Canis lupus familiaris: one gene and its partners. The protein of the gene in region 4 purifies or fractionates together with the protein of the main gene of each other region. This does not show direct contact. Links are inferred from orthologs where the notes say so. Each region holds a gene or a part of one and is shown on either strand. Other genes may lie near its edges.

The links.
Region 1: the proteins of CDK19 (region 4) and MED7 purify together in Homo sapiens (affinity purification with mass spectrometry; 5 studies listed by BioGRID and IntAct, counting the BioPlex papers as one, with this or other methods). This does not show direct contact. The link is inferred for Canis lupus familiaris from reciprocal best matches to the Homo sapiens genes CDK19 and MED7.
Region 2: the proteins of CDK19 (region 4) and MED12 purify together in Homo sapiens (affinity purification with mass spectrometry; 10 studies listed by BioGRID and IntAct, counting the BioPlex papers as one, with this or other methods). This does not show direct contact. The link is inferred for Canis lupus familiaris from reciprocal best matches to the Homo sapiens genes CDK19 and MED12.
Region 3: the proteins of CDK19 (region 4) and MED13 purify together in Homo sapiens (affinity purification with mass spectrometry; 6 studies listed by BioGRID and IntAct, counting the BioPlex papers as one, with this or other methods). This does not show direct contact. The link is inferred for Canis lupus familiaris from reciprocal best matches to the Homo sapiens genes CDK19 and MED13.
Region 5: the proteins of CDK19 (region 4) and MED8 purify together in Homo sapiens (affinity purification with mass spectrometry; 6 studies listed by BioGRID and IntAct, counting the BioPlex papers as one, with this or other methods). This does not show direct contact. The link is inferred for Canis lupus familiaris from reciprocal best matches to the Homo sapiens genes CDK19 and MED8.
Region 6: the proteins of CDK19 (region 4) and CCNC purify together in Homo sapiens (affinity purification with mass spectrometry; 8 studies listed by BioGRID and IntAct, counting the BioPlex papers as one, with this or other methods). This does not show direct contact. The link is inferred for Canis lupus familiaris from reciprocal best matches to the Homo sapiens genes CDK19 and CCNC.
Region 7: the proteins of CDK19 (region 4) and MED19 purify together in Homo sapiens (affinity purification with mass spectrometry; 7 studies listed by BioGRID and IntAct, counting the BioPlex papers as one, with this or other methods). This does not show direct contact. The link is inferred for Canis lupus familiaris from reciprocal best matches to the Homo sapiens genes CDK19 and MED19.

What each region holds. Positions count from the first base shown.
Region 1 is NC_049225.1:53,884,020-53,888,557, reverse strand, and holds the start of MED7 (mediator of RNA polymerase II transcription subunit 7), read right to left. Parts: upstream 3,034-4,538; 5' UTR 2,967-3,033; intron 1-2,966. UniProt on the Homo sapiens protein: Component of the Mediator complex, a coactivator involved in the regulated transcription of nearly all RNA polymerase II-dependent genes.
Region 2 is NC_049260.1:55,693,162-55,696,978, reverse strand, and holds part of MED12 (mediator of RNA polymerase II transcription subunit 12), read right to left. Parts: coding exon 3,796-3,817; intron 3,622-3,795; coding exon 3,501-3,621; intron 3,117-3,500; coding exon 3,015-3,116; intron 2,886-3,014; coding exon 2,772-2,885; intron 2,520-2,771; coding exon 2,344-2,519; intron 2,161-2,343; coding exon 1,981-2,160; intron 920-1,980; coding exon 848-919; intron 393-847; coding exon 259-392; intron 89-258; coding exon 1-88. UniProt on the Homo sapiens protein: Component of the Mediator complex, a coactivator involved in the regulated transcription of nearly all RNA polymerase II-dependent genes.
Region 3 is NC_049230.1:34,602,786-34,607,365, reverse strand, and holds the start of MED13 (mediator of RNA polymerase II transcription subunit 13), read right to left. Parts: upstream 2,893-4,580; 5' UTR 2,804-2,892; coding exon 2,738-2,803; intron 866-2,737; coding exon 631-865; intron 1-630. UniProt on the Homo sapiens protein: Component of the Mediator complex, a coactivator involved in the regulated transcription of nearly all RNA polymerase II-dependent genes.
Region 4 is NC_049233.1:67,738,903-67,743,336, reverse strand, and holds the start of CDK19 (cyclin-dependent kinase 19), read left to right. Parts: upstream 1-1,456; 5' UTR 1,457-1,640; coding exon 1,641-1,768; intron 1,769-2,236; exon of another isoform or gene 2,237-2,405; intron 2,406-4,434.
Region 5 is NC_049236.1:16,885,131-16,888,424, forward strand, and holds the end of MED8 (mediator of RNA polymerase II transcription subunit 8), read left to right. Parts: coding exon 1-29; intron 30-551; coding exon 552-692; intron 693-888; coding exon 889-970; intron 971-1,332; coding exon 1,333-1,581; intron 1,582-2,417; coding exon 2,418-2,482; 3' UTR 2,483-2,747; downstream 2,748-3,294. UniProt on the Homo sapiens protein: Component of the Mediator complex, a coactivator involved in the regulated transcription of nearly all RNA polymerase II-dependent genes.
Region 6 is NC_049233.1:58,029,286-58,033,102, forward strand, and holds part of CCNC (cyclin-C), read right to left. Parts: intron 1,065-3,817; coding exon 958-1,064; intron 1-957. UniProt on the Homo sapiens protein: Component of the Mediator complex, a coactivator involved in regulated gene transcription of nearly all RNA polymerase II-dependent genes.
Region 7 is NC_049239.1:38,962,057-38,964,624, reverse strand, and holds part of MED19 (mediator of RNA polymerase II transcription subunit 19), read right to left. Parts: intron 1,004-2,568; coding exon 747-1,003; intron 600-746; coding exon 503-599; intron 230-502; coding exon 108-229; intron 1-107. UniProt on the Homo sapiens protein: Component of the Mediator complex, a coactivator involved in the regulated transcription of nearly all RNA polymerase II-dependent genes.

The DNA of each region.
Region 1 (4,538 bases), on a different chromosome or scaffold from region 4:
AACATAAACAGTGAAGCACTCTGGGACAATGATCCAGATGAATAAGCATGCCAAATCTCAAAGTCTCCAGCCATTAGCTTTCATATGGGAATGAAGACTCATTGCTCCCCAGTTTATTTCTTAAAAGAGGGCAAAAATCCAGATTTCATGCAGAATCTCTCAATTTTTAAATACTGGTAATTAGTTCTAGAAATGGTCAAGTCTTGTGAGGTCAAAAAGAACTTATCTACAATCTTTGTGGTCTGTGGGCCAATAGTTTTAGACTTCTGTTTTATATTCTCCCTTGGGTGATTATTAGTTAATTCCCTGGCTTTTAACACCATTTCTACCAGTCATTCTCAACCAAGGGCAATTTTGCCCACCAGGAAACATAGGGCAAGGTCTGGAGATATTTTTACTTGTCACAACTGGGGGATGGGGTGTTACTGGCATCTAACTGGTAGAGGCTAGGGATGCTGCCGAACACTTACAATGCGTATGACAGCCCCCAAAAAGGAATTATCCCAGCCCCAAATGTCAAAATATTGTGCCAAAGTGGAGAAGCCCTGTTCTGTGTTTATGACTCTGTACTTTCTAGCTCTAATCCAAACTGCCTGATCTCCTGGATGGCTCATAAAGCATTCAGGTTGAACCACTTGCATAAAGTCACAGATTAAGTAGTAGAGGAAGGATTCAGAACCATAGTATCTTAAACACTACTCTACATTATCAAGGATAAACAAAAAAACATTGCTTCCATCTTAGTGCCACTTACAACCTAACAAAAAAAACACAAAAATAACTACCAAGTTTTAAGGCTCCTACAGAAGGCCAACAGTTCTACCAAAAATAAGTCTAAAAATTCCACACAGGAAAATTATCATAAGCAAAATTAAAAGACAATCCCATTCTTTTGGGAGAAAAATGCCTGCAAGCTAACAGAGCAAATATTGGAAATTTTATTTTGACTTTTCAAAAATTTATTTTCTGACTCCACTCCCACCGGAAGGAGGGCACTAGGACTTCAGGAACTGCCGAATACACAACTCCATCTCCAGCACCTCAACACCTAAAAGATCCTCAATAAAGGCCCACTGATTGAGTTTTTTTTTTTTTTTTAACCTCCGTTTTTTAAAACAGAATAATAGACAAAAGAGGACAAGGAGGAGGGCTCGGGTGGTTCAGTCGGTTAAGCTTCTGCCTTTGGCTCAAGTCATGGATTCAGGTCCTGATCTCAGGGTCCTGGGATTGAGCCCGCATCCGGCTCCCAGCTTAGCAGGGAATCTGCTTCTCCCTTCTCCCTCTGCCTTTCCCCACGCTGGGCTAGCTCCCTCTCTCTCAAGTAAATAAAATCTTAAAAAAAAAAAAAAAAAGACAAGGGAAATGCAAATGCTGAATAAAAGCAGAAAATTATTCAGACTAATATACTTCTAAAAGCAAAGTTTTAAAAAGAATACTTTTCATCTAACGGACTATCGAGATTTCAAATACTCCATCATTCAACAAATATTAGAACACCTTCCATGCGACAGGCGCTGGATGCCAGCAGAGGTCGCACTCTCCCAGGGCAGCTCTTTCTGTCCAAGGGTCTTGCCCTCTCATGCTTCTATAAAGACCACTTTTTTGCACCACAGACGTCTCAAGAACTCTTTCTTGGCTGTTGGTTTCAAACCCTAACATCTGTCCTACGTCACAAGTGCATAAAAATGTGCACCAAGGGTGTTTAATGCAGCGAGGTTTGAAAAGAGTAGGAAAAGCCGGAAATCATCCATGACTTCATCAATATGAGGAGTGGATAAAATATTTCTCTGTAATATAAGGCGGCCCTCGAGTAAAAGGGGTAAAACTGCTTGCGGGGAGTGGGGGGTGGAGGTGGGGGTGATAAACAGTGTTTATATGTGATTACTACCAAAATCAGAGAATTAGCATTGATCTGGTTACTTCAAAAGCGACTGTAAGAGACAGCCCAGGCTCTGCCTCACTCAAGCATTTTTAGTTGGGCGCCCGGTTCCGCGCCTCCCCACGCCACAAGCCACAAGCACTCCTCTATTCAACGTGCAGGTTCCCAGTCCCACGTGACTGGCACGTTTTAAAGCCTCTCGGCGGACGCCTGGGTGGCTCAGGGCGGGATCCGGGGATCCGAGATCGAGTCCCACGTCTGCAAGGAGCCTGCTTCTCCGTCTGCCTGGGTCTCTCATGAATAAATAAATAAAATCTTTAAAAAAAAAAAAAATTAAAAAAAAAAAAAAAGCCTCTCGGTCTTCCTCACACGCCTGTCAGCTTCCTTCGCGAGAGGAAGACTCCGCGTCTCGGAGGGGCCGCCTGCGCCGCGTCGGGGCTAGCGAGTCCACGGCAACGCTCCTCATCCCGGCTCCTTTCCGCGGCCCAGGGCAGGCTCGCCCACGGAAGCAACCTGACGAGTCGCACCGATTCTGCTCATTCCTCCACCGCTTCTCTGGGGCCAACTCTTCCGAGGCGGTGTCTCCACTGAAACCGGCGCCAAGCGTCACGGCCGGTGACCGGACCCCAGACCCCCCTTCCGTGGGGCTCAGCCGACAGGAAGGCATTCCAGGGTCCCGCCCCGCCCCCGAACACCTCCCCCTCGACGTGGCCACCAGGCTTGGGATCGCGGCCTCCTGCACCCCGCACTACCGCGGCCGACCTCAGGCTCCATCCCCGACGAGCGCGGGCAAGGCCCGGGGGCCGAGGCCCGCCACGTCCGCCCGGCTCAGCACACCCGCGGCGCGGGACTGGAACTCAGGGCTCCCCCACGGAGGAAGCCCCGAGCGCGCCGCGCCGACGGCACCTTCCGCCCGGCTCCCCGCGAGCAGCAGCGAGGCCGCATCTCCGAGGGATGTGGGAGAGGAAGGTGACGGAGCGTGTCCGCGCCAGGCTTCCCCCATTCCCAGCCGGCCCTGGGGGAGCCGCGGGGTCCGGAAGGCGAGACGCACGCGGCACGAAGCCGCAAGCCGTCGCCGCCCACTTACCTCAGCCCAGGCTTGACGCTGGAGCCGCCTTCGCCTCCGCAACCGAAAGCCGACTTCCGGCCACCTCCTCCAGGAAGAAGCCCGTGACACTGCCCCTTGATTGGCTGAGAGAACTGTATGTTAGCCGCCGCTCTAGTCCCGCCTCCAACCAAAACCTTGCTACTGCGCCTGCGCGTATCTCCCCGCGCCCTCGGCGGTCGGGTCGCCGGCGGCCTCGGGCGTGGGGGTGTCTGTGCTAGTACTTTCTATCAGTAAAAGCTGCAACTGGTAGCTTCGCTCCTTTGTTATCTTTTTTTTTTTTTTGACACCTGAGATTAACTTATCCGTTTGCCTTACATGAAAATTAGAAAATGCAGATAAGCCGATTTTTAAAAATTAGATCGACTCTAATCCTACTGTCCAAAATAGCATTACATTTATTTTCAATCTGGAAATATTTATGAACGAGATCGGGAATTCATAGCGTTCTCAGTTTCTATTTCTTCACATTCATATTTATTTTCATTTAGGAATTGAAACATAGCTATGTTTCCAGGTAACAAAAAATGTATCAAAGTTTTTGGGAGGTAATTTTCAGAAGAAGTAACAAACTTATAAATTCGTGGAAATCTGACGAGAGCATACTGGACATAAAAGAAAATTGTTATTCTGATAAAAGTTTTCAACTTTGCCTCTAAAATAAGATTACTTGGTTTCATTTTTTAGAAAAGAACGAGATTCCGAGTATATGCAAAAGTAGAGGGGCGCCTAGGTGGCTGAGTGGGTGAAGCCTCTGCCTTCAGCTCAGGTCGTGATCCCAGGGTCCTGGCATCAAGCCCTACTTGGGCTCCCTGCTCAGCAGGGAATCTGCTTCTCCCCCTCCCCTCACACTGCTCTTGCTCTCTCTCTTCCTCTCTCAAATAGATAAGATCTTTAAAAAAAAAAGTGTACTCATTATCCACCTTCAATCTATATCTACCCATTAGATCTAGACATTATTTCGTTTTAATATACACGTCCAAAATAGGACTCTCATTTTCCCCCATAAGGATACAGGTGTTATATCATTTAAAAATAAGTTAGTAGAGGTGCCTGGGTGGCTCAGTGGTTCCGTGTCTGCCTTTGGTTCAAGTTGTGATCCCAGGGTCCTGGGATCAAGTCCTGCGACAGGCTCCAGATATGGAGCCCGCTTGTCTCTCTGCCTACATCTCCGCCTGTCTCTCTGTCTTTCATGAATAAATAAAATCTTTTTTAAAAAAAATAAAATAAAATAGTAATTATTTAAATTCATCAAAATCAAGGGCACTTAGGTGGCTCAATTGTTTAAGCTTCTGATTCTCAATTTCAGCTCAGTTCTTGATCTTGGGGTCATGAGACAGCCCCATGTCAGGCTGTGTGCTCAGCCTGCAGCCTGCTTAAGATTCTCTCTCTCCTGCCCTCTGCTCCACACACCCCCCCCCCTTACCTCTCTTAAAAAAAAATCATAAAAATCAAGTCCTTATTTGGATAACAATTGCTTCAGGATCCAATAAGCCTTTGTAACTGGCTGATGTGTCTTTCAACTACCTTTAATCTTTGATTCTAAAGTTTCTG
Region 2 (3,817 bases), on a different chromosome or scaffold from region 4:
GGCTGCCTTTAACACATGCCCCTGGACTGAGGTGGGCAGCTTAGCGATGAGGGGAGCGACCAGCCACACACCAGAGCGCTCCAGAGAGCTGGAGGACAGATGGGAGTAGACAGAGTTCCAGAGGAGCCAGGCAAGGGTAGAACAAGCCATGCTCTCCCTGCCCAATGGACAGGCCTAGTATCTCTGTGAGACTGAAATCATTTACACTATGAGAGAACAAGTCATAAGGGGAGGGGTCTGAATGCATTTCTACCCAACCTGAGCACTGGCTTTGTTTTGCTGCTGCTGGGCATGTTGCTTGTGGTGCTTCCAGAAGATGACCCTGTCTCTGCTGACTGTTGGAAAACCTCGATTGTGGCCTTGGCGATGTTCTCTAAGAGGGAGTTCATCTCCTGGGGAGGATGAAAGGCACAGAGGTGCTCAATAGGTAACTGTGATAGGAAGGAAAACAGACGGCAGGAAAGATGGGAGATGAGGGCGGAGAAAGGCATCTGGAAGGTAATGAGAGGGAAAGACACAACTCTGCTGAGAGCCTGCCCTCCAGAGCCTCCCTATTTCTCCAATTCCCCCACTGTCTTCTCCTCACATGCCTCCTTACAGTTGTGACCAGAGAAACTGCCTCCCACCACCACCATCGCCAATCTTCCCCCACACCACCGAGCCCCAACATTCCTGACCCATTTCCCCCTACTCATCAGCCCCATGCGTTTGCCATCTTCCCACCCTCTCTTTCTCAGCTCAAGAACCTGAAGTTCCATAGGACACAGGTTCTTCTATGGTAGCCCACACCCCTGACACATGGAGCTGGAAGTGAGCATGGGACAGAGAGGGCCAGGTGCCAACTCACATTGTTAGGGGTCTGCTTGATCATGAGCTGCAGCTCCAAGGAAGACTGGCGCATGGTCCACTGGTCCAAGTTCTGTGATGGAGACGCCACCCCTAAGCTCATCATCATCCTGTCCCCCCTCTCCATTTCCAGCCACTTACCCCCCACCCTGACTAAGCCACCTCCTGATCTCTCACAACCTTGAAACACATATGCCTACAGGTCTGAAAGGAACTTCCACGTCCCCATCTTTAGGAAAGACTACACCAAAATGATCCAAAATCGTTGAAAAATCTAGCCTATTTTAAAAACGGTTCTGGAAAGATTTCCCATCTTTCCCCTGTCTCCTATTCCAGAGCTTCACATTCCTCCACATGGGTAAGTTCTGCTTAGCACTTACCCTAAATCTTTGATGTTAAAGTTGCAGGCTGTTTTAAACCAGCTGTTCAAAGTCCTTTACAGACCCAAGGGCTAATGTGAGTTAATCTCTCTTTAACATTATCTCCTCTGGGCTGAAGAGACTCATTCCTGTAGCTCTTTTAACAGCTTTATTTCTCCACCCTTCAGTTACCTGAATGCCTGAAGCAGCATGGCAAAGTGGAAGGGGCACAGGCCCACCTGGGCTCGCACCCTGACTCTAAACTAGCTGTGTGACCTTGGGCTAATTACTTAATAAACTCTTCAAGCCTTGGTTTCCTCCTTGGTCAAACTTGGCCACTCCTACCTACTTTCTGGGGGTTGGGACAGATTAAATGAGAAGATGGACATAGAGTGCTGAGCACAATACTCGGCATGAAGCTGACACTTGGTAATCAAGAGCTATGAAGTACTACTGCTGTTCGTTACTGAGCTGTGAGCAAACACCAAACAAGCAAGGCCTTAAACAAGGCTTAGCAGATGTTGTGCCGCCTCTCACTGATAAGCTACAGTCCCAGATAGCCATGCCCTCATCCAGCAGTTGGCTCTAGGGTCTGGACTGCACTGGCCTGACTTCAAAACCCACATGGGGGCTGTTGCTCTGACCACCTTTTGCCCACATCCTTGTTCAGTCTTCCTACTTGACTAACCCCCTCTTTTTCCCTCAGGGTCCCCATTGTTTCACCCAGGGCCTGGGCCCCACTGCTTCCTCTAAGACCCTCACCACCTTGGCCTACCTGCAGAATACGCTTAATGCGCTGCCGCTGGGGGTTTTCCCCGTCCTCGTTGTCCAGCAACCGATGTGGGTAGCAGATGAGCTGCATGAGGCGCTGGGCCTGGGCACTACTCAACACTGGGTCTTGCAGGTCATTGCTATCCTCACACAATGATTTAAGGCAACGCTCTCCTACCCATTCCTGAGGAAGTAGATAACCAGGGCACTGGGGCAAACAGTGAGTGGGGGTAAGGAATAAGGGGGAGATGGGCTGGGGGTTGATGAGAGACGTGATGTATAGTAGGAAGGTGGCATGATCAGGGCTGGAAACAGGACATTATTATATAAAGGCATTTGGGATGCATGGGGGGAAGGTGAGACTGACCTGTTGGCAGATGCTGCGCAGCACGTACTTGGCATAGACATCCAGACTGGCTGTCTCCACAGAGATGTTGCGGCCACCCTGCCTCCGACCGCCACTGCCACCTCCTCCCTCCTCCTCTGGAAGTTCTTCTGTTCCTCCTGTCACAGTGAAGCCTGAACCCTTCAGTTCCGCATCCCCTGTGGTTCACGGGCGGGAGATAGGGAGGGCAGAGTGAGATCTGAACACGGTGTAGAGACCCACCCCAGACCCACAGAAGCAGCAACTCCCCCAAATCCTGCCCTATGGGACAGAAATATACTTCCCTCCCTCCTCTCCTCCCCAAAGGTCAGAGAGACCACCTTCAGGAGGGAGAAAGACTTTCCTTTGTAGTTTAGCTGGCACTCCACCCCACACACACTTCTGGCACCACTCCCTTCCTACCCCCATACCAAGTACAAATACTGCCTTGAGAACAGCAAACACAGCTCCATCCACGATGCGGTTCTGGGAGGCAGCCAGCAGGTGGCGGTCACAGGAGGAACGGATTCCTACTGTAGGCTTGTCTGGAGAGGGAGCCCAAGTCATGAGAAGCAAAAGTAGATCCAGTGGGGTGCAGGCAGTGGGTGGGGCGGGGGGGGGGGGGAGCAGCCACACTTTCTACTGCTGGCTAGGCCCAGATCAGGGTCACTTACTTCCATCTGACTGGCAAGGATTGAGTTGAGGCGTCTTGAAAAGGTGGAGGAGGATGCGGCAGGTCAGCCGGGCCCCTGGCTCAGAGTCCTGCTCACTGCAGGCTGCAAAAAAAAAAAAAAAAGGAAAACAAAGCAAATTGGACAGGGCAAAAGTGGACTGTCCGTGGGTTTGTGGGTGGCAAGGGGCTAGAAGGGAAGGCGAAGTCAGGCAAAAGGAGAAATAACAAGATAATGGGGGAGGAGAGACAGAGCAGTCAGCTGTCTTGCAGTGTGATGGGGGGGGGTCCCTTAGGAGGGTCACAACAGGGAAGGATCAGGGCAGTCAACACAGCGTTAGAAAGAGGCCGCTCTGGGCCCGAGGCCCATCACACAACTGGCCTCTGGTGATAGCGGGGAGCCCCACACTCAACAGTGAGGGTGTGGCCATGGAGTGTGTAGTCAAACTTGGGATCCAGAAATTCTAAGGGTTACGGACTGGTGGTTCACCGGCATTAAGGAGTGAAGGGATGGCAGCACAGCGAATCAGATCCTCAAGGAGCAGACATTGCCGAGCGATGAGGATGGCAACAAAAGTAGCCAGAGAGTCATGAAAAGACAGGTCACTGACCTGGAGGACAAAGCAGACAAGACATCTCGACTCAGCCTGCAGAGAGGGGGCCAATTCAAAGCAGTAGGCCTCCACTCTGTGGGACTCTGTCTCTTGACTATTGCAATGACTGTGACCGGCCCCCTGCCCCGGGAACCACCCCACACCCTGGCAGGACCCTGGCGCAAGCCTCACATCTACATTGCAGAGGAGGTCG
Region 3 (4,580 bases), on a different chromosome or scaffold from region 4:
TTATTGATAGGTTCACAATAAAATTATTTCTGTGTAACTTTTTAGATTATGATCCCAATGTCCTATAAATGAGTTGGCACTAGTCTCATTTTAGTGACAGTCTTTGAAAGAACACTAAAAGAATCACTGTCCAAGAATAACAAAATTAACATATGCTTTCATATGGTAATAACCACAACTAACAACAAAATATACACCTTGAAAAAAATACATAAGAAAGTTACAACATTTCTAGAAACTCCTACCAAATGTCTGCATATTGATACAGAAGAGAGCAGTGGCAGAATGGACTCAAATGGTGAATTACACATGCCTGCAAATTACTTCTCCCTCATTCCATTTTTCTTAGGTAACATGCCTTCCTTGTGCCCCGTTCGCAAGAAAATACACAAGGATGCTGGGTGGTTAAAGAAAAAGTTATTCAAGGCTAAAGCCTGCCATAATATGGATAATTTAAGTAAAATAAAATAACCACACTGAAACATAACAGTAAGCTAACTTTTTTATCTGGCTTCACATCTAACAGTGTTTCACACACAAGAAAAAAATCTTAATTTGTAATATAAATGATTTTTAGGAAAAGTATACAACGTTGCTATATATCATTGGTTAAAAATAAGTTGCCTTCACCTGACAAGTCATGGTGAATAAGATCAGCAAAATTGGGGTCTTCACCCCACCAAAATATCCACAATTCTCTTCTTCCAGGTCTTTGATCTCGCCGCCAAACACCAAGTACATCTGCCTTAAGGCAGCGACTAAAACTGCTCAAAATGGGGTCTTCCTCTGTCACCGGAAACAGAATAGGGGCAGAAGTTGGGCCTTGCCATACATATCTTTTCCATTTAATTCCCGTCAAGTCAGCCTGAAGAAAAGAAAGCATGAGTATTACAGCACATTCACTCAAAGTCAATAGTACTCACTCTTAAAGCCCTTTATTTCATTAAGACATTACAATTTTTCAATATATACTGAAGATATTAAAGCAGACTGACCAAAAAAATGATTCTTAGATAATTCAACAACCCAAAATTTAAGGAAAGGAACTAAAACCGTGAAAATATTAACACTGACATGTCACTGAGTAGCAATAAATAGATGTCCCTAAGAAAAATAAAAGACTTAAAAATGTTTAATATAAACATGTACTTTAATACTGCACACTCAGTAAACATTTCCTCTAAGTTCTGTTCCAACTGGTCACGTTTGTTCCCTGGTGTCACACTGTAACAGAAAATTTTTAAAGACTTATGATTCCATGTTTATAAATTGATGGCTCCAATGAAATGAGAACTATAGTTGAAAAAAGTGTTCACATATCCCTTTTAGGCAAAGTGAAATAGAAAATGCGCACAAAGAACTGTCAGATTTGTACTAGTCTATTTTCAAAGAACCTGATCCTAAAAGTACCAAAAATAGACGGAGTCAGAGAAAACAGAAATGTAAAACCTGATGTTATGTTTTATTGCACCCGAAGAGATGTTGATTAACGGGCATTGTACAAGAAAACATTTTATAAGAGGAAAGGGCATTAAAAAAAAAACAATTTGGCACCGTGAAAAAATTCGACAGGGAGAATTTAGTAATTCTTTAACTTAGAGGTGCAAAGCATAAGGTGCCAAAAATGAAACTGCTGATACATGACTGGCAGTTTACACTTGCCAACTAGTTGTGCTCCGCCCACTCGGTTCACTTACCTATCACATACTCTTAGTATTTCTCCTAGCACACAAAAAATGAAAAAAGTCAGTCACTGAAACTTTAAATCGTGGACGAAGCTAAGCTACTGTCCAACTGAGGGCTAAATATTTGCAACAGTTGGTAGTTTTCAAAAAGTCTTAACTGTGGATGTTACCAGAACTGGGCCAACCTATACAATTGTCAGTCCTGCATCCAGCTTCCCTAGACTTTTCAATATAATGAGAAGCAGCCTGCTCAAACCAATCTAAAAATGCAAGTAAAACAAATAACAGCAACAAAAATTAGTGCAAAACCATAGAACCTCCTCCACTAGTCCCATTTCACTCTCACACAAACATAATGTTCTATTAAAAGCAAGACGGCTAAAAATTGTCAAAATGGCAAACTGTTTTCAAAGTTCAAAGACAAAACATGAAATGGTATCTACTGGTTTTTACAGAGAGATCTGAACTCATCGAAGGGAGAAACTAATCTTCTGTTAGTTTGACTCATCAGAAAACGTAAAACGAAAAGAGATTTTTTTTTTTTAGTACATAAGTTCCGGTGTCCTGTTTGGGGGGGGGGGGGGCGGGGGGGGGAACGAATGACCAGAGTGTGGCATAAAGGCACTGGGAGAATGAGCAATAATGTAAAGTGTTAAGAAGAGATACATAGTCAATAAGGAGAAAAGCAATAGTTAATAAGCAAGACACACCGGGAAATGGGAGTATCCTGCCAGATAAGGAGCACAAGTTGAAGACAAGACTACGGTTGAGGAAGAGTCGGAAACGGGGGACAAGGAAAGAAAAAAAAAAAAAAAAGCCAGCAGTCCTAAAGCAGAGCTCAGGATGGGGCTGAGCGAACGCGTTTCCCGGGGCTGGCGCGGGGCTCGGCCGCGGGGCTCGGCCGCGGCGCCGGCTCCGGCTGGGCCTAGCCCGGGGACTCGGGCATCTGGATCAGACCCGGACCCCCTCCCCCACGGCCCAAGGGCGCACCTCGCGGCCCCCTCCCCCACCGCCCCGCACGCCGCGGCCCCCGCCCGCGGCCCCTCACTCACCAGGCAGAAGAGGTTACAGTGACAATCTTCCAGGCTGGCCCCGTTCGGCACGAAGGAGGAACTCATCGTCCCTCACAGCAGCCGCCGCCGGCGCCACAACCCACCATCCGCCATTACCGCCGCCTCCGACCAGAGAGAGAAACACAGACACCGGGGAGGGCGGGGGGGTGGCGGCTGGGGGAGCGGTGGAAGAGGAGGCCGCCGGGCCGCCCGCCCTCCCCGCCCACCCCCCCGCCGCCGCGAGCAGCCCCCGCCGCCCGGCCGGCACCTAGCCGCCCGGGGCCCAGGGCCGGCGGGAGGGCCGCGCCGCGCTCGCCCCGCGGGCCGGACTGCGGCCGCCGCGGAGCCCGCGGACGCTTGCCCCTCTCGGGGGCACAGAGGAGATATGTGCTCCTTCCACAAGAAGAAAAAAAAAAAAAAACCAATAAATTACACAATAAATAATTAAAATCGAGTCCGAGAGGGCAGAGCCCGAGCCGTGGAGGGTGCTCCCGGGCGGGGAGGCGCCCGTGGAGGGGCAGGAAGGGCAAGAGCCGGGAGAGAAGCCCAGGCCCCCGGCCCGGCGGCGGCGATGTCCTTAAGCCCAGAATCTCCTCGGCGGCGGAGGTGGTGGCGGCGTCTGCGGGCTCAGACCATTCTCTGGCTGTGTCTTCGTGTCGTCCCTGGGCCAGGCCGGCCTAACGTCTGCTCTACTGCGGCCTCACCGCCCGGACGCCGTAGTCTCCCCCATTTTGTGGGCCCAGCGGGCGGCGTTTTTCCCCCTTTAATCCGAATTCACGGGTTTTCCCTTCGCTTTAATGGCGGCCACAGGGACCAGCTCGCCCTCTCTGCTCGCCCATTGGCCGCCTTGAGGTCACGTGGGCCCGGGCTCCGTGGGGAGGAGGAGAGAGAAGGGAGTGAGAGAGGGCCGGGAAGCTTTCGGCGGAGGCGGTGAGCCCTGGGGACCGGACGGCCAGCTGGCGGCTACTAAGACAGCGCCATCTGCTGGGTGCCTCGGCCACTGTAAGATGACCCCGGGCCCAGGCCCTAGCTTTCTCCTTGCGGGGGGGGGGAATCTACAGCGCAAGAGGGTTCGCATCACCGATCTGAGAATTACGTGGAAAACAGTTTGATTTCGTCGGAAAAGAAAGTGTTGCAAAAATTCCCGGGCATTCTCACTTGCAAACCCCCCGGGCTTGGGAGTCAGACGATCTGCGATACAACTTGGACACTTAAAAAGTTGTGATATCAAGAAAGAAAGAAATGTATGAGAAACAGTATAGCCTCGTAGTGAATAACCTGGGAGTGAGAGCCACGCTTCCTTGGGTTCAAGCCTTGAGCCAGTCAGTTCTTGGGGTCTCAGTTTCCTCATTTGTTAAAAGGGGGAAACATAACCCTATCTCATAGGGATGCTGTGACAATGGAGTTAACACAAATAAACCAGGTAGCCCAGTGTCTGGCACAGACACCCATTGCTAACAGTTACCTATTATTGTTGTCATCGTGACCTCATAAGATTATTGTGAGGAGTTGAACCAGTGTATGTAAAGTGCCACCACCGTAACCTCCGTGAGAACCAGAACTTTGTTTTGCTTACGGCTGTATCCCTAGTGCTTAAAAAAAGGTTCCTAGCACACAGTGGACGCCTGATATTTGTAAATTTGCAAACGAATGAATGGTAAGAAATGGAAACCAACTAAAACGTTCTGTTCCCTTCCCTATAAAACACTCAGTTCTTTATTGGATTACACTTCAGTGTAAGAGTTCAAACATTTTCCCTGAAAATTTTGGAGAGGAGAGAGAGAGAGAGAGACAGCGGGGAAGAAAGGAAAGAAGAAAGGAAGGGAAGAAAAGAAGGAGGGAG
Region 4 (4,434 bases):
TGATGGAAAAAGACCAGTTTTCATCTGGTATCTCCAGCACTCACCCTGGTTCCTGGACATAAGAGAAACTAAGATTTTCAGATACGTTTGATTGACTTCAAGATCTGAGAAAGTTCCTTAAGAAATTTACTCTTGTAGTAAATCAATGATCTCCATCCCCCACTCCCAAGTTTTCCAGGTTTCTTCCCAAACCTAGCAGGTGGGCGGGGGGGGGGGGGGGAGGTGTCACTACTAACTTTCCTTACCACTTTAGATAAAGGGGACCAATTCTTCCTTTGTGCTCCCACTAAATGTGGTATATTATTCTTATCCTAGCACCAATCACGCATAAAATCGTATCCCAAGCATCCTAAGGACGCAGGAATTAAATGAATCCATATTCACCTTGATTAAGGACACTTTCTCAGACATCCTTGGAGAACGTCACCATTATGCACAGACCTTAAAAAAAAAAAAAAAACAAACATCTTTTACAATGCAAACCTGATGCCTGCTTTTAAGACGATGCATCCTCCTGGCACTTGAATTGTCCTTAGACAGATGGCCCAAAGCTTGGCTGTGGGAACCGCATATGGTGGGAGGAGACCATGACTCGAGCGCCAGGAAAAGGATGATTGGCTGCCGGGCCTCAGAAGTTCTCCGCAGACCGACGCCAGCCCTAGGAAACCGCTGAGGGTTCAGCTTTTGAAATACGGTTTTTGCATCGTAAAGAAAAAAGATGGACCTATCAGAACAACCGAGCACACCCAATTACCAATCAAGAGCGGGAAAGGAGCCAAAGCCCGGGGATACCCACGCACCGACGAGGACGTCATTCTCTAGTCTCAGCCAATGAGCGGCGGAGGGGGGCGGGGCAACGAGCGGACCAATCGCCACGAAAAACAAACCGTCTTGCAGCACAACTGCTCTAACCACAGTCCTCGCCTCTCTAACCGCCGGCGCAAACTCCTGAGCCGAGCACTTGTTACGTACTTTCCACTCTCCCTCTCGCCCGGGGGCAGTGATAGTGGAGTACCTTCCTCTACACCACAACAAGGGCCTTTTTTCCACCCGCTCCCCCACAGACTCGCAGAAAGAATTCGGCAACTTGAAGCTTCCCACCTTCACAGGAACTGGCAGTCCGGCGCTACCTGAGGGGGAGGGGCGGCCGCAGTGCGCAGGCGTGCCCGCCTCGCGGGGCGGGGCTGTGGCGGCCCAAAGCAGCCTGGGTGTTGTATTTCTTCTGCTGGCGAAACTCGGTTGCTGTTGGGGCCCTCCGGAACTACATTTCCCAGGAGCCCCCGCGACCTCGGGGTGGGCGGGATGGTTCGTTAATGAGCTCGAGGAAGCCGCGGCGCGGCCCACCAGGTTCCAAAACAAGGAAATGAAGGGGGGAGGCGGGACTGGGGCTGCCTGCGGGAGCCGCCGCCGCCGCCGCCGCCGAGGAGGAGGAGGAGGAGGTGGTGGTGGAGGAGGAGGTGGCTGCCGCGGCCGCCGAGGAGTCCCTTGCTGAAGGCGGACCGCGGGGCGGCGGGCGGCGCGCGCGCGCCCGAGAGGCGGCTGTTGGAGAAGTGGAGCGGCGGGCGCGGGGGGAGGAGGAGGAGGAGGGACTGAGCGGCGGCGGCCCCCGCGTCCCGGTGCCTCTATGGGGAAAGCAGACAATGGATTATGATTTCAAGGCGAAGCTGGCGGCGGAGCGGGAGCGGGTGGAGGATTTGTTTGAGTACGAAGGGTGCAAAGTGGGACGCGGCACCTACGGGCACGTCTACAAGGCGAGGCGGAAAGATGGGTAAGAGCAGGGGCGGGGGGAGCGGGCTCGCCCGGGTCCTCGCCCTGCCCGCGACCGCGCGGGGCGGCTGGGTCGGAGCCGGGGCGGGCCGCTCCCGGGGGGCGAGGCGGCGGGGGGCGCGGGGCCGCGCGTCCCGGCGCGGACTGGGGGGCGCGGGCGCTGCCCCCCCACCCTCCACCCTGCACCCTCCGCCCCGCGCGGCCCCGTCGCGCCCCGCGGACTCCCGCGGCGCAGCCCGGTCGGGGGGCGGCGGTCCCGTCCCCGAGGGCGCCCCCCGCGCGCCCCGGGCTGGCGGCGGGGACTCGAGGGGGCACCTCCGCGGAGGTGGAGTTGGCGGGGTCTGCTCTCGGGGGCGGGCGGGGGGCACGCGGGGCGCCGGGAGAGCTTCGTCGAGGAGTTGCCGCTCCGGCCCTGGGCCGGTGACGGTCGTGGCGGAACTTCCAATCGGCTGAGCGCCTCCCCGGGGGCGGCGGTTTGAAACCCAGCCGGGGAGCCGGCGGCGCGGCCGAGCGCTGGGGGCCCGGGCAGCCTCCCGGCTCTGGGCGCAGCCCCTGTCTACACCCGCCGACTTCGGGATCCATCCTCCCCCCGCCGATTCCGCCTTTGCACCTTGTGAATTCCGCGCCTCCCCTCCGAGGTGGGACCTCCCGGGAGACCCGCCGCGCTTTACCGGCGGAACTTCGCCTAGTTCCCTAACTCGTCCCCCCACCCCCCACCCCCCGCGACCTTGGGCATCCTGAGGTCCTCCGCACCCCGACCTGGGGCATCCTGAGGTCCTCCGCACCCCGACCTGGGGCATCCTGAGGTCCTCCCCACCCGGACCTGGGGCATCCTGAGGTCCTCCGCACCCCGACCTGGGGCATCTTGAGGTCCTCCGCACCCCGACCTGGGGCATCCTGAGGTCCTCCCCACCCGGACCTGGGGCATCCTGAGGTCCTCCGCACCCCGACCTGGGGCATCTTGAGGTCCTCCGCACCCCGACCTGGGGGCATCCTGAGGTCCTCCAGACCCGCACCTGGGGCATCCTGAGGTCCTCCACACCCCAATCTGGGGCATCCTGAGGTCCTCCCCTGCGCCCCCCTGGCCGAATGACTGCGCGCTGGGGGCTCCCGAGCACCTGGATGGGCCAGGACGGAAGGCGGGCCTGGATCTCTTGTTCTCCCGGGGAGTTGAGGGCGACCCGTGGTAACACCTCTTAGAAGCGTCCATGGATCGCCGTCTTAGGAGAAGGCGAGCTGGAGAAAGTATTGACAGCGCCTGTCCTTGGTCCTGTAGGGTAGCCGTGCGCGGGCTGCAGGGCCGGAGGCACCAGCTCCCCGCGGCGAGGAGGGTCGGGGTGAACCCTTGGCCTCCCCTCCGCCCACCCTGGCGGGGATCCTCCTCCCCCGGAGCCGGGAGCCCGGGGACGTCTCTCGAGCCCTCCCGCCTAGGTTCCCAAGGCTGTCAGAAACCACTCGGGGGAGAGAGTTTGTAGGCTCGTAACGGGACATCCCTGAGTGAAGGGAGGATCGGCCGCGGCGACGTTAGTGGGACTGGCGGCGCTGCGTCGCGTCCTGCGCACCTGCCTGTTGCCATCGCTGCAGCTGGTGTGGGGGGGCCAGGGCGGAGCAGGCGGGGCCGCGCGCCGGTGCCCGGGGAGCCCGCGGAGCCCGACCCTACACGCCGTTTCGCCCTAGAGCGTCGTGGCCTCACGAGGTGCTGCACACGTGCGGAGAGAGGATTGTGAGCCGCGTTTAGCTTTTGCCTTCTGAACTGGACGAGCCCCATGGCGTTCAGTTGTAGCTTAACTCATGGTTCTTGCAGTTACTTGCCAGGTGTCGTCCTTGAATTAATATCTTGGACTGTGAGGCACTATAATTAACTTGTATTTTGCTTCTGGAATATTAGCTCTGCTTGTTCTCCTGGTGTCCCTGTAAGGAATCTTAGCAGATATACTTGGGGAAGAGCACATCTAGTTTTCCTGGTTGGACACTGGCATTACAAAACAAATCCCACCTTGTGTGTTTTTCATACTCCTCGTGCTTACGTTGTGATACACTTGATCTGGAATTTCTAAGATGTATTTTCATTTTTGTTGTTAAAAATAGCTTCCTTTCAGTAGGTAACTTGTGAGAAAAATTGAGGATTCTGCTTTTGAATTGTATTTTTTGATAGCATGGGCCACAACCAAAAAACAGCTAAATTTAATTCCTGCTTCTCATTGTTCTTTTTTTTTTTTTAATATTTTTCCCCTCTAATAAAGTTCTTGATTCGACTACACTTTTCTTCTTGAGTGAAATTTGTTTGAGCAGAATTAATAAAGTTTCTCGAATAGAATAAGATCAGTTTGTGTATCTTCAAAATACGCTTTTTAAAGAAACTTTTAGGATCTGAAAGCATTAGTTGATATCACTGTATTGGTTATAAGAAAAGTCATTATAAAGGTAGGTTTTCTTGGGTCAAAGGTCTAGTTGAGATTTGAGGTTTTACAGTAAACACATCTCTTGTGGGTTGGTAGGATTAGTTTTATGTTCCGTGATACAAGCGATTTGAAAGAACAAAGTTTTTAGTGATGGTTCTAAGCTGTGATGCAGATTTGCATAGTAAAGGATTTTACACTCTGATCATGGTCCATTACAGGTTAGCTCTTGACAGAATTTATTTTGGTTAATTCAGAAAAAATGTAT
Region 5 (3,294 bases), on a different chromosome or scaffold from region 4:
TGTCTCCAGACCGTGATGAAGATCTCATGGTAAGAAGAGAAGAAGGGCATAACATGGGAAATTAAATTCTTAGATGAGGGCTTAGGGCACAATTGTTGCTTGGTAATTTTAGAAGTTCTGAATGTGTAGTGTGTGGTAATAGAAAGCAAGGGCTGCTTTATTGAGGCCTTTTTTTCCTTCTGGAATTGGGGAGCTACTTCCAAGTAGTGCCAAATAAACCTGAGGCCTCTGTGCCCAAGGCAAAGACCTTTCTCCTCCAATATCTATCTTGAGGAAAAAGTGTGTTCTTTTGTGATTTTTGTCTGTTTTGGTATTTTATTAAAATGTAGCAAAGAGAAACTTGCCTCTAGGTCTGGTAGAAATAGAGGTGTGAGCAGATAGAAATGAAGCAGGGAGTAAGAGCAACAGTGTTCTAGGAAGCCAGATACTGTAAGTGTCAGGCTGTGTTTTCCCCAAAAATGTACCATTTGCCAGTGGAAGGAGCTGTGTAGCAAGCCAGATTGAATTGTCTTGGATTGCATGGGAGGATCAGTAACATCTGTGTGTTACAGCGGCAGACTGAAGGACGAGTGCCTGTTTTCAGCCACGAGGTGGTCCCTGACCACCTGAGAACCAAGCCTGACCCTGAGGTCGAAGAGCAAGAGAAGCAGCTCACAACAGATGCTGCTCGCATCGGTGCCGACGCAGCTCAGGTTGGACCAAGTCACTGCCCTGCTGCTCCCCCCTCCCCTGGGGCCCTTCATGAGAAGCTGGGCAGTACTGTTGGTGTCTGGTAGGGGTGCGCAGTTGATTATATAAAAGTTGCCCCTGGAAGAGCACAAGGAACAGCCCTCATCACAAGTATTTCCTGTCTGCTCTGATCTCTGCACAAATGTATGTGTGTTACAGAAGCAGATCCAGAGCTTGAATAAAATGTGCTCAAACCTTCTGGAGAAAATCAGCAAAGAGGAACGGGAATCTGAGAGTGGAGGTATGGAAGGATTGGTGGCAAAAATGGAAGAGGGAAAGGAGGAGAAGATGACTGGACTAAGACTGGTGGTTTGGGTGGTGGTGAAGTGAGGATAGAAGACAACTGCTTAGGAGAGGGATGTGTCCATTCTGTTTGCCGTTTATACTGAAGGCCAGCCCTGGAGCAGGCAGAGGAAAGGGGCAAAATGAGAAGGGATAATTCTGAGATAGTTGTGGGGGTCTCTTGGGGTCTCTTTCTCTGGGCTGCTGGTGAGTGTGGATGCTGCTGAAGCCCTGAGGCTCCTGGGGCTGGTCTTCCTGCTGCCAGGTTTAGTCCAGGGTCAGAGGCGCATCGCAAGCTCCTCACTTCCCCTTTTTCTTCAGGTCTCCGGCCAAACAAGCAGACCTTTAACCCCGCAGACACCAATGCCTTAGTAGCAGCTGTGGCCTTTGGGAAGGGGCTGTCTAATTGGAGGCCTTCCGGTAGTAGTGGTCCTGGCCAGCCCGGCCAGCCAGGAGCTGGGCCGATCCTTGCTGGAGCCTCAGGATTACAGCAAGTACAGATGGCAGGAGCTCCGAGCCAACAGCAACCACTGCTCAGTGGGGTGCAGATGGCCCAGGCAGGTCAAACAGGTAAGGTGGCGGAGGATGACATGGTAGCAGACTCAAAGCAAGGAAATAGGGATAAGCTGGATTGTCTGGGCCCCCAGTATCCCAGAGTTGGAGATTTTCTCCTATCCTCCTTGGACTGTGACCCAGAAATCAATTTTTAAGAGTAAAAAAACTCTTTTGAGACTCTGTAGCAGGTACCAGCGAAAGGAAGAACTTCGAGCAGCAGGAACTGCACCTCCCAGCCCCATCTTAGAGCTCTGTGTCAACTACCTTCTTGTCCCATTTACTCTGGACACTGAGTGTGCTGTTGGGGTCTTAGACCAGTGGGTGGGCCTCAGTTAAGACCACTCAGTAGGGATGCTGGGATTGAAAGACAAGCAAGTTATGTGTACTCTTTTCTTTGTATTCAATCTCTCTGATCTACTGTTAATAGTTATGAGAACAGTCTGGAGGAGTTCAGATGTGCGTAGCTAGAAGAGGTGTTTTGTGTTTTGTTTTGGTTTTTTTGTTTTTATCCAAAGCCCTCCAGGAAATGGAGCAGTTACAGTAAGAGAGAACAGTCTTTCGCCTGTGACAGTAAATGGGGTCTAGCTGTCTTTTCCGGAAGTAGCTGAGCACGAGACTTGCTGGGGTGTGTTCTGACCCCTCCTACTATCAGTCCTTTTTTTCCAGATACCTTCCGGGAGAGGGCTGGTCAGGACCCACACCTCTAATCTTTGCTACCCGGGGTCAGAGGCCACAGAGGTTCTGAGCTGAAAGAGCGAAAGGGTGGCAGAAGGGAGCCTGGGAGACCACCTCTCTGATTTATCATGAAAGTCTTAAGGTGCTTCAGGTGTCTTTCTTCATATTCCTTTTAGGGAAAATGCCAAGTGGAATAAAAACCAACATCAAGTCTGCTTCAATGCATCCCTACCAGCGGTGAGTGTGGCCGGCAACTTTTCCCAAAGCTGGACTAGATGGGTACAATAAAGAGAACATGGGCTTTCAGCGCCAGACAGGTTCCAGCTGCACCACAGACGAGCTGAGTGACCTTGGGCAAGTGACCTGATTTTTCCGAGCCTGTTTTCTTTGTAAATGGTGATACCTACCTCATAGGGTTGTTGTGAGGACTGAAATGAGAAAATGAATGTAAAACAGTACAGCCTATGAAATAATGAGCATTCAATAAATGATAGTTTCTACAGCCACTTCTCCCACTGCCCTCCTCAGTCCTGGATCCAGAACCCAGCGGGATCTGATACTCCTTCGTGTCAGCGGTGAGCTGACGGACACAAGATCATGGACCACTCTGTTCTGTTTGGAAGCCTGTCCATATTTTATGGTGCCGGAAACTGTCACAGCCTGTGTATGTCTTTAGAGGCATGTCGGCTCCACAGGCCCCCCCTGCCCAGGTTCCATCAGGGCCATCTCTCCAGGCTGCCGGCAACGGGGCTTCTGGGCTGGGTCAGAGGGTCCACCCACAGCTCTGGTGAAGCGTGGGCCTGCCCTCCCCTCTCCTTCACCCTATCTTATACACATCCAAGAAGATGCTGAAGGTCTAGTAGGTGTGGGGTTCCCAGGAAGTGGCTCTACCAGGTAGGACTGTGTGAGAAAGGGGCTTTGTTAGCACATGAAGCCCCTTCTCCCTGGACTCATTTTTCTTATTTTAGAGGGAGAGGGGAATCACGCTTCACACCGTCTTTCTTCTGGGTTTCATTGCTCTCATAATAGCTCCTGGTTCCTGGACTCGGGCCA
Region 6 (3,817 bases), about 9.7 Mb from region 4:
TCACACTGGGTTAGGACTAGGATTTGCAAATCTGTTAAAAGAATATAAGTATGCATAAACAACAATAAAAAATAGAAACTGTCCCCAAAGCAAACACTATTCTTATATTAAGAAGATTGAATGATAGGTATTTCCCTCTATCTTCTAAGTATTTTCAGTGTTTTTCTTTTTTTTTTTTTCATATTATCTTTAGAATAAAAGCAAAAGTAAAATGTTAGACAGCTATCAAATTCACCTCAACTACCACTTTATAAAGTTTATTAAAAAGTCCATAATGAATTCTCAAAATAATAGAAAGGCGGGTATGCAGAAAAGTGAACTGGTTTTAGAAAGATCAGGTAACAAAGCTACATGGCAGAGCAAGGATCTTCTGAGTCTAAACCCCCTTCCCTCCAAAGCAAACTTGTAAGATAAAAATGACCAACATAGGAGGTCAACCCAAAGAATCCATTTATCCTCAAAATACTTGCTTTAGCCAATCTTAAATTAGACTTAATAACATATTATAAAGGTTTAGAGAGATTAATGACACTTTCAAACTGTCTTGAGTGTCCCTGACATGTAAGATTCACAACAGACTTTATATCACTTAGAAAGATAAATATAAGTTATGAAAAGAATACATGTATAAATAAAAATGTTAAGTAGGGACTAAAACAGCTCACCATAGATTACTATACAAAAGTTTTTTTTTTTTTTTTAAAGATTTTGTTTATTTATTCATGATAAGTCACACAGAGAGAGAGAGAGAGAGAGAGAGAGGCAGAGACACAGGCAGAGGGAGAAGCAGGCTCCAGGCTCCGGGAGCCGGATGTGGGATTCAATCCCGGGTCTCCAGGATCGCGCCCTGGGCCAAAGGCAGGCACCAAACCGCTGCGCCACCCAGGGATCCCACTATACAAAAGTTTTAATTCAGAGGTAAACAACTATACCATTTCAGTTATTTATTTTTTTTACCATTTGTAAAAAATATTTGTAATTTCCAATACTCTTCTTCTGAGAGAAACTTTAAATCCTTCTGGCGTTCCTTCAACAGATCTTGTTTATCCAAAATCCATTGCAAACTACAAGAACAAAGATGTTAAGACACGTTACAGAAAATCAACTAAGTCACAAAAAACATTCTAAGACTGAACAAGTTGTGAACATTCTAAGAAATACAAAATGCCAGAAGTAAACTCTGAAGACAGGATTTTCTACATTTCTTGAAACTGAGAATCATCTCACTAATGAATGTAAATATGCTCTGAAAAAATTCCACTCTAATTTTGCCTTTTTCATTCTCTTTCTCACTACCTTACACTGTTTTTGCATTGGTTTTAAGACTCTGATATCAAGAAAGATCTTACAGTCAGTGATGCCTTAGGCTTTTAATTGGCAGCACGTTTATTTTTTTCCTAGTGATACATAAAATAATAGTATAGTTATTTGGCACTAAATGAGGATACCTTAGATTTGAAGTATCTTTTCTTAGTTGTTCATGAGTAACTACAGTATTTAATTTTTCGACTTCACAAATTCCAATCATGTTAAAAGCTGCTTCATAATTTATTACACTAATAGCCTCCACTTGCCTAGTTAAGTCTACTATTTTTAACCAGATATGAAATTGAAATGACCCAAAAAACCACTCTGCAACTTGCCTTTGTCACTCAGTATGTACTGGAAGTCTTTCCATGTCAACAAATTTGTTATTCAGCATCTCTTTAAATCGCTGCACATCATTATGGATGGATTATTTATTTAGTTAATTCCTATTAATAGATATGTAGCTTATAATCTTTTATAATTAAAAATAAGACTTTAATGAATATCTTTGTACTTCACCCTTGTACATTTGGTTAATAATATATTTAAAATAATTTCCTAGAAATAGAACTGATTGGTTGGTTTTGCTGATAACTTTTACATATTCAGTTTGTATTCCATACATCATACCAATTTCCATTCCTATTAACAGTACATGAGAGTGTTTTAAAATACTTAAACCCCCTATGGGTTACGGTTAATCTTCTAAATACTGTACAACTTAAAGGCAAAGTAGTATCTTACTGTTTTAGGGGATTTTGTTTTTTAGTTTACTTCTGAGGTTAAACATTTTTCCAGGCCTTATTGGCTAAATACAGTTCTTCTTTTGTACACTGTAATTCTAACAACAGTTTTTCTAATGGGATGGTCTTTTTCATGATTAAAAGATTCTTCTCATGTAATTTGCAAATTATGGTTAGTAAATCATTTGTCAAATACACTGAAAACATTTCCCAAGTTCATGATCTCTTAATATTTAATTTGTAATACAGAAATATGAACACTTAACACCAACCCATATTGTACTTTGATGTTATGCTTGTCACAAATGGGAAGGCCTTCCCTGACACAAAATGACTTAAAAAAAAAAAAAAATCACCTACATTTTCCAATCACTTAAGGCTTTTTTCTTTCAATTTTTCTTATTTCTATGCCACGCTATTTTAAAACATAAAATTAAATTATTGAAAAAAAATTAAATTAATGAAATCTGGTATGGAAAATACCCTCCTTGCTGCTTACTATTCTTTAGAAAATTTCTACATATTCTATTACATTTATTATTCTAAGGCTTGAACTTTAGAAGTATGTTAAGTCCCAAAAAAGGAAACTCATTCAAAATTGTTTGGGATTGCATTAAATTTACACATCAATATAGGGAGAAATGCTATCTTTACAACACTAGAATTCAAACTCCATTTATTAAAATCTTTACTACTACATAATTTAAAAATTTTCTACTACATAATTTAAAAATTTTCTTCCTATAGATCCCGCACATTTCTTTAGTTTATTGTGTATTTCATATTTCCCACTGTTATTGTATTTTATGTTTCCATCATTCATTTAAAAGAAAGCTTTCCACTTTTTACATTTTGTAACTGGTCATTTTATTTTTTATTTTTTAATTTTTTTTATTTACTTATGATAGGCACACAGTGAGAGAGAGAGAGGCAGAGACACAGGCAGAGGGAGAAGCAGGCTCCATGCACCGGGAGCCTGACAGGGAGCCTGACGTGGGATTCGATCCCGGGTCTCCAGGATCGCGCCCCGGGCCAAAGGCAGGCACCAAACCACTGCGCCACCCAGGGATCCCTGGTCACTTTATTAAATATTATTTATAATAATTTGTCAATTAACTGAATTTTCTGGTTAATTTTATCTGTATAGGATGACAATTTTGTCATTTTTTATATCTCATTCTATTAATTATATTGAGTAGCAATTCAGAACAATGTTAAGCAGGCACTCTAATTTTCCTAATGTTTCACCATTAAATATCTCTTATCATTCATGCTTTGATGCTCTTACCATGTTAAGAAAGCATCCTATTTTAGTCAAGAAGAGATGTTGAATTTTAATAGACGTCTTCTGATGCCTTCACTGTCTATTAACATATTTCCTAATATCGACTATATTTCTACAAAATCACTGCCTTTTTTAAATTACTAGTATGATGTTAGGCTCTACTTGTTAATACTTTATGATGTTTACATCAATATTCAAAACGGAGACTGTTCTTAGTGCTACCTTTGCTAGATTTTATCAATGTTATTGTAGCTTCATAAAGAGAACTGGAAAGCTTTTTTTCTGTGTGAAGTGATTTCAGTAGCAGATCCTCTTGAAAATGGGAAAACATATAACCATGAAATAACGTGGGTATGGAGCTTTTTAAATGTTTTAGCTTTCAACTTTATTACCATGGAGATAACCCAAAGGTACATTTGGGTTTATTTATTTTTCTCATTCCTAATTTTGTATCTTTCGTGTCATCCCTCTTTTCCTTGAT
Region 7 (2,568 bases), on a different chromosome or scaffold from region 4:
GCAACATGCCCTGGGTTTTAATCCTGGGTCCCACCTGAGGCAAAGGACCTTCAAAGACAGGGTGAGACGGGGAGGCTCTGGGTTGCAGCAGCACAGCCCTAACCTACCTTCTTTTTCTTCTTCTCTTTCTTCTTCCTTTTCCGTTCAGGATCCTCCTCTTTTTTCTTTTTCTTCTTCTTGTGATCAGAATCAGATGGTGTTTCTGTAGGAAACAGTGTGTGCCGATCACCTGTAGAACTCAAAATTCCCTACAGCTAGGAACTGAAGACCACAGGAAAACCTAGTCAAGGGCACCTGCTCCTCTAATGGCCAGAAATGATAAGGGAGGCACTGCTAAGGCACTGTTCCAGCTTTCTACTTGAAGGAAACACTAATTATCCTTATACCAGTATCAGGAGAACTTGGGAAGTCTGGGGCTCTGTAAGGAACCTAACTGGGTTTTTAAAAACAGATGGTCCAACAAGGTCCAGGTTTTCTGTCTTTGAATAGAACTGCTGCTTACCTGGGGGAACAGGATCCTGGGTACGGCTCTGTTTGTGCTTGTGCTTATTCTTCTTCTTGGGCGGCTGAATATGCATCAGGCGACACTGCTCTGGTAACTGAAGGAACCAAAGGAAGTTCCAGGTGAGTGGAGGGACAAAATGCTCTGCTCCCATCATCTGTTCTGCTCAGTAAGTTATGGAGGAACAGACTTGGAGAGAGAAACCATCTCCACGCCTTTCAGGCCTCTCCAAGAGGGGACTCACCGGGCCAGTGTGGAGGCGAAAACCAGCCAGCATGGTCCCTGTGATGGGATTAAAAGAGCCACCAAGAATAGGGGGTTTCTCGATGAGAGAACGGAGGCTGCTGTTATCGTGGGAACCAGGCAGATCAATCATTCCTGGCAGGTCCGGCAGGAAGTTACTGAGTTTCTCCTTCACCTTCTTCCCACAAAATTTATTATAGGAATGTTCCAGGTTGTAGTGTGTGATCAGATTGGTGCTGCCTGTCAGCTCAGTGCTACCTAGAGGGCACGGAGAACAAAAAGATACTAGTCCCAAGAGTAGTGAGAATTATAAAGAATTAAATTTAGTTTTTAAAGTAAGAAACAGCAAAACTAAATAACATAATAGACGCTGAAAACATAAACCAAAGAATGGTAATAGTCGGAACAAGGAGAAAAATCGGCAAACATCCAAATAGAGCACAGATGGAAACTCACCCCAAAGAAGACACTCTTCCCCAACTTGGACTCCTCGCAATAATAACTTACGTGATGTAATTACTGTGCTAAACACTGTTCTGGGTGCTTTTCATATAATCTACCAGTGAGAAATTATACTCTCTGGCACAGCAGGATCTTACCTCAGAGCTTAGCTACCGAGCAAGGTAAGGGCCAAAAAGGACAAAGCCTTGAGCATCTGATTAAGGACTTTTTTTTTTTTTTTTTTTTTTTGCGCTAGCAAGAAACACTAATTATCTTCACATAAGGAACAGGATTTTTAGCTACTGCTGACTAATTTGTTACCACTGTCTCTATTACTAATAATACCAAATATGATGCTTTTTGCCTCAAAGTTAATGCCATAGTTTCCCCTTATCTCTGCAGTGGAGTAACAGCTATCTTGAGCACGCTAATTTTTTTTTTCAAGGTTCAAATGAAAACATTGAAAATTATAAAGTATTCTATAAGTGCAAGGTACTATCAGTATAAATACTGCATGGCTGACTTTTTTCAAAGAATGGAAGTTTGTTAGTAATCTAATAAGGACCTAGTGGCAAAGGGTGGAGCTAGCTAGCCCACAATTTCATCTACAGTTATGATGAACACGAAGAATGCAAATGACAAAAGTGGCTTGTTCATAATCATTCACTTGGAAAAACCCAGGTTCTGACGTGAGTCCCTTGGGGGCCGAGACAATGTTTGTCTTGTTCACACATGTATTGCTGGTGCCCCATGCAATACACATCTTTGGTGCTCAGTAATTGTTAAGAGAGCAAGGTATTTTCCCTCCGTACCCTAAGGCCTTGCTCTATCCTTCTCTTTTTCCTTTCTCATGCCAAACGTTCCAGAAGCACCGTGTACTGTGGTGGCAGAAGACTCAGTGCCACGGTACTGGCTCCTCCTAAACAGACACTGCCTCCTGCCATTCTAGTTATCCTGCTTTTCCTAAACACTTTATGAGCCCATCCAACATCCTGTTTTGACTACCAGTTCTATGAAGATGATTTCTAAATGTCTCACCCCAGTCTCCTAACACTCCTCTCCTAAAAACTAGTCTTAGGTTTCCAACTTCCTCCTAGTTAGTTAATTTCATGCATTCATTTTTTTAAACTCCAAATTTTCTCCACCTCATTTATGTCTTCTCTATTTCAATACATGGCACCCATATTCTCCAGATATTTTTAGAAGCAGTACTCCTCAGGTCAAAAATTTCAATGGTTTCCTATTACCCTCAGGAAAAAGCTCAAATTCCTTAGGTACTCATGGTAAAACACATCTGACTCTAACTTCAGCCACTACTCCCCTATGCCAAATTGCTGACCCATCCAAATGAGTCTCCATCATCTCCTGAAAAACATACTTCT